Linked DNA regions of Xenopus tropicalis. The protein of the gene in region 1 purifies or fractionates together with the protein of each later gene. This does not show direct contact. Links are inferred from orthologs where the notes say so. Each region holds a gene or a part of one and is shown on either strand. Other genes may lie near its edges.

Region 1 (3,763 bases):
GCTGGGCCTCCAACCTTCATATCATTTGTTCATTACTTGAACGTTCTATGTTGCCTTGACGCTTAGATTCCAATGCAATGTCATCATGTTGGTCATAATGTAGGGGCAAATATTAAAAGTTGTCTTTGAAAAAAGTCTTTTACGGCCACCAAACATCAGCTAGAACTTCATACATTTTTGACAGGGCTGAATGACTGGAAGGACTGATCCGTTGAATAACACATTTTAAGTGGTTCTGACTTGGTACTGGTAGCTAAAATAGTGGCTCACCACCGAGGCTTCCATTCTACATAATGGGAAACGTCTCAGTGGCCAATGATATTGCCCACAGGTAAGTTATTCCAGGTTTATCATGAAATGGAATGCAAAGACCTCAGCAGAGACTTGGCTTTAACCACCAATGGTTGTCCTTAATGACTTCTGCAAGTTCTCTAGAACTAAAGGAATAAGTCTTTGCTCAGTTGGAAAGGAAGTCTATGGCGGCTCGCACAGTCTTTTTGCTTTTGACATCCATGGCCGTTACTTTGATTTCCGTGTCCCCAAACTGCATGCTGGCTTTAATCTCCCGGCGCCCCGTCTTCCCATTCTCCTCGTTTATATCAGGCAAGTCCAGGTTAATGGTGCCGCACTTCCTGACGCCAGGGTCGGTGATGTACACCACCTCATCCGTAGAGGAGCAGTAGATATTGATGATTATTTTGCGCTGCCCATTCCTGGCCGGGCAGTAGCTCCGCTGGACTATGTCGCCTAGAGCCACCGACTGATCCACGGACACAAACTTATCAAAGATATCCGTGCACCAATTCTTCCCTTCTTTCACAAGGAGTTTATCCGCTGGATGTTTTCCTTCTACGAACTTGTTGAGGACCCCAACGCCATAGGTGAGAGGAGAACGCCTTACTCTGACAATGGTAGGATCGAGGCCAAAGAGGACGGCTCCTTTGAGTATGGTAAGGCCAACGTCTTGAGGAATGATAACCCGACAGATATCGCTGAAAGCTGATTGGACAGCGCTCTGCAACATCGGAGACTCTGCAAAACCACCAACCAGGAAGAGGTACTTGATGCCTTCCACCTCTGGCTTCTTCATGAGGTCATCTACGGGAAAGGTGACAATGTTATAGACTGGTCTCTGCACAAAGATGGACTTTTCTATGGTTCAATTAGCTTTAGCTGTTACCCCAAACTATCCATTTATGGAACAGGATCTCAGTTCAGGGCTGGAATGTTGGTGAGTCCTACAATATTCTTGTATCCAGTACAGGACTGGGATCCATTATTCATGCAAGGAGTAAGCAATCTATACCCAAGGCTGGCACAGTAGGGGGAGAATATGTTCAGCATAAAAACTCTGTCAGACATTGAGTTAATATTTACAGAAATCTCTCCGAGTACTAAAACATTTCAGCCCAATAAACATCGCACAACGAAGGAAAGTTAGAAAAAACACAGACCGGCCACAAAAATATTTCAAATCCAGTACAATACTGATAATAATTCTGGAAGATAAAAAGCTTGGCCCTTTAAGATCTGCCTAAAGGTGGCCATACACCTCGCCAAGCGAGCGGACCTACGTGTGGGCGATATCGGGCAAATGTAGGCTAACGGGAGCAATGGGGTAGTCGGTTCAGGGATAGCATCAACGAGCCGATGTGGTCCCCGATCTGACAATCTTTTAACCTGCCCGATCAATATCTGATGAATTACTACTCCTGGATGTTTAACATGAGGCCCTGTCCCATTAACTGTGCCTAAATGTGTAAGTACTATAACCTATCTCAGCTACTGACTATTTGAGCAAAACATTCTATACTAATATAGTATGAGTCCTGTCCTAGTCAGGCCACTATCAGCAGTTTATACTATTCATCAGAGTTCGAAGTAATACTGTGAGTGCATTAAAGGGTAAGTAAATGGGGATGATATGGTACCTATGTGCTGGACGATCTGACGGATGGTTGGCTGGAACAGTTCGTTCATGGCCTCGGAAGACATCCGTAGCATGCCCTGGGATGACCATTTCACAAAGTTGACACTGAAGCAAAATATAAAGGAGGTGTTAGAGTTCCTGAGTCAGAGGTCATATAAATGACTGCCAGTTTTAACCACGTTTTAACCTGATGTACAGACTCAAGCGCTCTCCTGTGGCCAGATTATTAACGATAAGAACAAAGCATCTCAGACATGGCAGGACCAATCTATACAATCTGACAAGGCATCGGAGTCAAACCTACAGCTGAAGGACTGAGGCTGAACCAGTAGTTGGCAGTAGAAACTGCCTGTTGCTACATATAAACACTGATGGAGTTGGTAGCCTTTTTGGATCAGTTTGACTGGGGTTGTTGAAGCACTAATGAGCCAAATGGAAAATTAAGTCAGTCATTTATGGGACACCATGGAATCTGATTGTTGACCGGTAGGTCGGCCTGACTAGGCCCCACTACATGGCTGGCCAGACCCACTAGTCTTCCTAACAGAACCATAGATCTGCATGATAGTTAGAAAGAGGGATTCTCTACCTTTTTCTCTGGATCTATCCCTTGCTCCAGACTTGGACTGGTCCACAGGAATAATGAGGAAAATCCCAGTGGCCCCCAAAGAGGTAATCTCTACCTTTTTCTCTGGATCTATCCCTTGCTCCAGACTTGGACTGGTCCTATGGAATAATGAGGAAAATCCCAGTGGTCCCCATTCCTTGTCCAGACTTGGACTGGTCCACAGGAATTATGAGGAAATCTCAGTGGTCCCCATTCCTAGTCCAGACTTGGACTGGTCCACAGGAATAATGAGGAAAATCCCAGTGGTCTCCATTCCTAGTCCAGACTTGGACTGGTCCACAGGAATAATGAGGAAATTTCGGTGGTCCCCATTGCTAGTCCAGACTTGGACTGGTCCACAGGAATAATAAGGAAAATCCCAGTGGTCCCCATTCCTAGTCGTCCCCACTAACCTGGGCTACACCACCTTATACTGTTTTGGAATGCTGTAGCTGTCACCAATTCATCTATGACCCTTACTAATTCTGTATGTGCAGAATATTGTTGCAGAGAAGGTTCCATTACAAGTCCCCCCCCCCTCCCAGCCTTATTAGCAGGAACCCTGGTGCAGTAATTACAACAATACACGTTACAACTTCTCTCCTGTACAGTCAATAGTAAATGCCATTATTTAAGGCTACAGACGATACAGGCCGTGGTTTCCAGAGAGATTTCCCTGGTGGATTGGAATTCACTCTGAGGCTTTCAGAACGTGCGAGAGTTTGAGGAGACTGAGAATTAATTACACATCGAACGCTCGGATCAATAGGAACATTGATTCCCCTTTTAACAGGAAGCTTCTCGGTTGGTGGCCTCCTAGGGAATAACTGAGGGACGTACAATGGAAATGTACAGTTTTATAGTGATTGAAATTAATCCCTAATGGGGCCCCATGGAGTAGATATAGGTAGAACCTTTAGGCAGGTAACCAGCCCTCTTCCCTCATGTCCATATGGATACATTAGATGGATAATTTGATGGTGATGTTGGTAGTGATGAAATTGGGGTAACTGAGAAGTGACAGCCAATAAAAAGCAGAGGGTTTATTCGATGTGCAGCCAACGAGGTCAGCTCCACCTAACCAAGCATTGTGTCCCACCTTGGGACTAGTTCTGTATTGAGCCTGTGGATGGAAGCCTAGAGTGGACATTATGGCACACCGAGCATGTTAATACAAGCCAGGTTCTAGGTTACCTGCTCTTTCTCAGGGCAGTCTCCACATTCTG
Region 2 (3,663 bases), on another chromosome or scaffold:
AGTAGACCCCCTCTTAACACTCGATAAATATGTCAATGCCAGTATTTAATTTTTCTTAATATGAATGTTTGTAATTAATTCTGCTTTAATTTAGTGTGCATTATCACTCATATGAAAGGCATTGTTTTTACCCAGCAAACAGCCCAGACTGTTGTTCGTGGCATTGAGGAAAAGTGTGGCAGCAATCGGGTCAGAACCATGTCTGGCAGCCGCCCACCTCTTCTCTCACGTCTCTCTGAAAACTCTGGAGATGACATGAGTGACATGGCGTTCGATTCCTTACCTAGCTCACCTTCCCCAGTCACCCCCCACGGCCATCGATTCGATTCGCATGGTAAGTACAGAAGCCACCTCTGCAGGTTAATACAAAGCAAGCTGATTAAAATATGTTAATGGAGTTTTTCCAGTGCCCCAGATCAGGTACTGAGCTGGTATTTTCCATTGCTGGAATTTTCATTATTAATGGGGTAGAGGCAAGAAACAGATTTATTCCATTTTGTAGTTATTTAGATCACTGAAGATTAACTTTTTTCTTGTTGGTAGATTTCTGCAAAAAAAAAACAGTTTTTGCAGCTTGATCCCACACCCAAAAATGAGGAACCCCAAAACATAGAATCAAATACACACTGTAACTTGAGTGTCGGCAGCCGTATCTGCAGTATGTTCAAAAATACATACTTGATAAAGTATGTATTTTTGACAGTACACTTGATAAAGGGTATTGACCCGAAACATGTTGTGTTACCACTACCCACAATAAATGTTTTGCAGTAAATCTGCTGAAGCTTTTTTTCCTACTTTTTGGATATCTGCAGTTTGTAAAGGGGTAATCTTATGAGGAAAATGCAGAGCTCTTTGCTAGCATTTCAATCCACAGGTCAGCTCTGCAGATAAATACTGGAATGAAGTATAGGTATGGGACCTGTTATCCAGAATGCTTGGGACCTGGGGTTTTCTGGATAAGCGGTCTTTCCATAAATGTGCACCATACTTTAATCCCACTAAAAAATTATTTATAAGTTAAATAAACCCAATAGGGTTGTTTTTCTTCCAATAAGGATTAATTATATCTTAGTTGGGATCAAGTATAAGCTACTGTTTAATTATTACAGAGAAAAAAGTAATCTTTAAAAATTTGAATTATATGATTAAAATGGGGTATATGGGAGATGCCTTCCCCTAATTTGGAACTCTGGATAATGCTTTTCCGGATAACAGATGCCATACCTGTATATATATATATATATATATATATATATATATATATATATATATATACACAAAGGATGGCACACCGCTACATAACATACCTCGGGTGCTCGGTAAAGGGTTCCAATAGTATAAAAAAGACCAGCAACTCCGGGATTTCTTGTGAAAAATCAAAACATGTATTCAAAGTAGCATAAACAGCCGACGTAACGTTTCGGTCCCCATTGGGACCTTTCTCAGGGCATCCATGCCTTGTAACACACATCTTTAAATCACCAAAAACCAGTAAATCAATAGGAAGTGACATCACAGTGTGCTGCCATAAAGTGGCTGAAGCCATAAAGCAAGTGAAAGTGCTGAAAAGTGCTGTAAAGTGTTCAGTGCTGGGCAACATCAGCCTAATAAAGTGTTAAGCAGCATTAACATAATAAAGTGACTTAGTGAAGATTGTTAATCCAAAAATTACAGGTATGCATAATATCATATAAAAATTCATATAAAATTCCATGCAGTAAACATTTACAGCGAGAGGTTAATGTGCAACATAAAGTACTTTTTCAACCATACATCGACATATATACAGAAAGTGCACGTGCAAAACCTGTTTCTCAGGATATCCCCTATCTCGGAATTTCTGGCACATCCTATTCTCCTGTATTTCTCGTTCTCCTGTCTCACTTACCAATCTCTTAACTCTAGAGAGTTGACTCACTGGAATTGAGCTTTTCGTATGTGGTGGATGTTGACTTTTGAAATGTAAAATCTAGTTTCGATCTGTTGGCTTAGTGAAAAGAGAAGTACATAAACTGCCTTCAATATTTCTATAGATTCGTACATCCAAAAAGTGAATTTGTTGGAGATCATGAGTAAGTGTCAAAGTGATAGAAGGATGTATATCATTCAATTTATTGTGGAACAGTTTCAGGGAGCCAATGTCACCCCACCACAGTACAAACACATCATCGATGTATCTCCACCAAGCCAAACAATGTTCGGGCCGCCAGTTGGACAGCACTGCTCTAGAGTTTAGAGATTGGTAAGTGAGACAGGAGAACGAGAAATACAGGAGAATAGGATGTGCCAGAAATTCCGAGATAGGGGATATCCTGAGAAAGTGATTAATAAGGCACAATATAGAGTACAACATTCTACTGGAAGGAGAAAACAGGGAGGTGGGCGAATACCTTTTGTTACACAATATTCAGATTGCAGTGAAACAGTTGCTCAAACTTTACGTAAACATTGGTATATTCTTAAAAAGGCATATCCGTTGATACAAGAATTTGAGGCACCCCCTATGATATCATATCGTAGGGGGAGAACTATTGGTGCTTCGGTTACCTCCACGGCACTTAGAATGGAAAATAAACAAAGTTATACTTTTTTAGGAGCAAAAACTAAGGGCATGTATCCATGCCTAAATTGTACGCAGTGTGCATATGTTTCGAAAGGAAGCTATTTTGTGCATCCAAAAACAGGTCAAAAGATACAATTACGGGGGCACTTTACATGTGTCACAAAATATGCATTTTATGTGTTGATCTGTCCGTGTGGTCTCATCTATGTGGGTGAGACCACACAGATGGTAAAATCCCGTATATCACAACATCGATCAGCTATTAATCTGGGGAATACTGCATTACCGGTGTCTAAGCATTTTTGTGAAAAGGGCCACACTGCAGAACAGCTCAGGTTCATGGTATTGGAATCTATACCGCCTCTAAAAAGAGGAGGTGATAGGGAACTTAGGCTGAAACAAAGGGAAGTGTAGTGGATTAATAAACTACAATCACTTTTTCCTATTGGATTGAACAAGGATTATGATTTGTTTCTCTTCTTGTAAATATTTGTATGTAATTGCACAATTTTTCTATATAAGATTCTGCTACTTGATTGACAATATTCTGCATATGTAAAAAGTTTACTATGACTTGAAATGAATCGCTATGGTAACGCTCAATCTATGATGTCATTTCCTGTATATCCCTTTAAATGTGATTCACTGGATGGATCGCATTATTACAGGCTTGATAAAGGGCATGTGTTTTGTCCGAAACGTCGCATATGTGATGTGATTCTTTTTAATACACTTTTTTGCAAATAACCCGTGTGCTGCATCTCTTTCAAGTTTTGTATAGTTGAGGGACGTGACGGCGTCCTGAAGTTGCAGAGCACCGGGGTTCGCGCTATGGATGAGTGCGGTGACAGTATTGTATAAGTTTATACATATATATATATTGACTACATTTGTCTTTTTCCCTTCTTTCTCTTTAAAGGTTGGCCTATTTTTAATGAGGTCGACAACTTACTTAACGAAGAAAACAATAACTTGGACAATCATAGAGTAAGTCGATTCATAGGTTTTTCTATACTGTTGTGTCTAAAGCTCGTTATTTATGTTACACTTATTTTTACTTTTAAGGACTCTGAAAATGGAGGGGATAGTGGATGTCC

The links. Proteins that work in one complex are often made in the same cells at the same time.
Region 2: the proteins of hspa12b (region 1) and eef2k purify together in Homo sapiens (affinity purification with mass spectrometry; 3 studies listed by BioGRID and IntAct, with this or other methods). This does not show direct contact. The link is inferred for Xenopus tropicalis from reciprocal best matches to the Homo sapiens genes HSPA12B and EEF2K.

The regions. Positions count from the first base shown.
Region 1 is NC_030677.2:15,717,489-15,721,251, forward strand, and holds the end of hspa12b (heat shock 70 kDa protein 12B), read right to left. Parts: coding exon 3,732-3,763; intron 2,036-3,731; coding exon 1,932-2,035; intron 1,099-1,931; coding exon 458-1,098; 3' UTR 60-457; downstream 1-59.
Region 2 is NC_030685.2:25,027,472-25,031,134, forward strand, and holds part of eef2k (eukaryotic elongation factor 2 kinase), read left to right. Parts: intron 1-135; coding exon 136-334; intron 335-3,485; coding exon 3,486-3,553; intron 3,554-3,631; coding exon 3,632-3,663. UniProt on the Homo sapiens protein: Threonine kinase that regulates protein synthesis by controlling the rate of peptide chain elongation.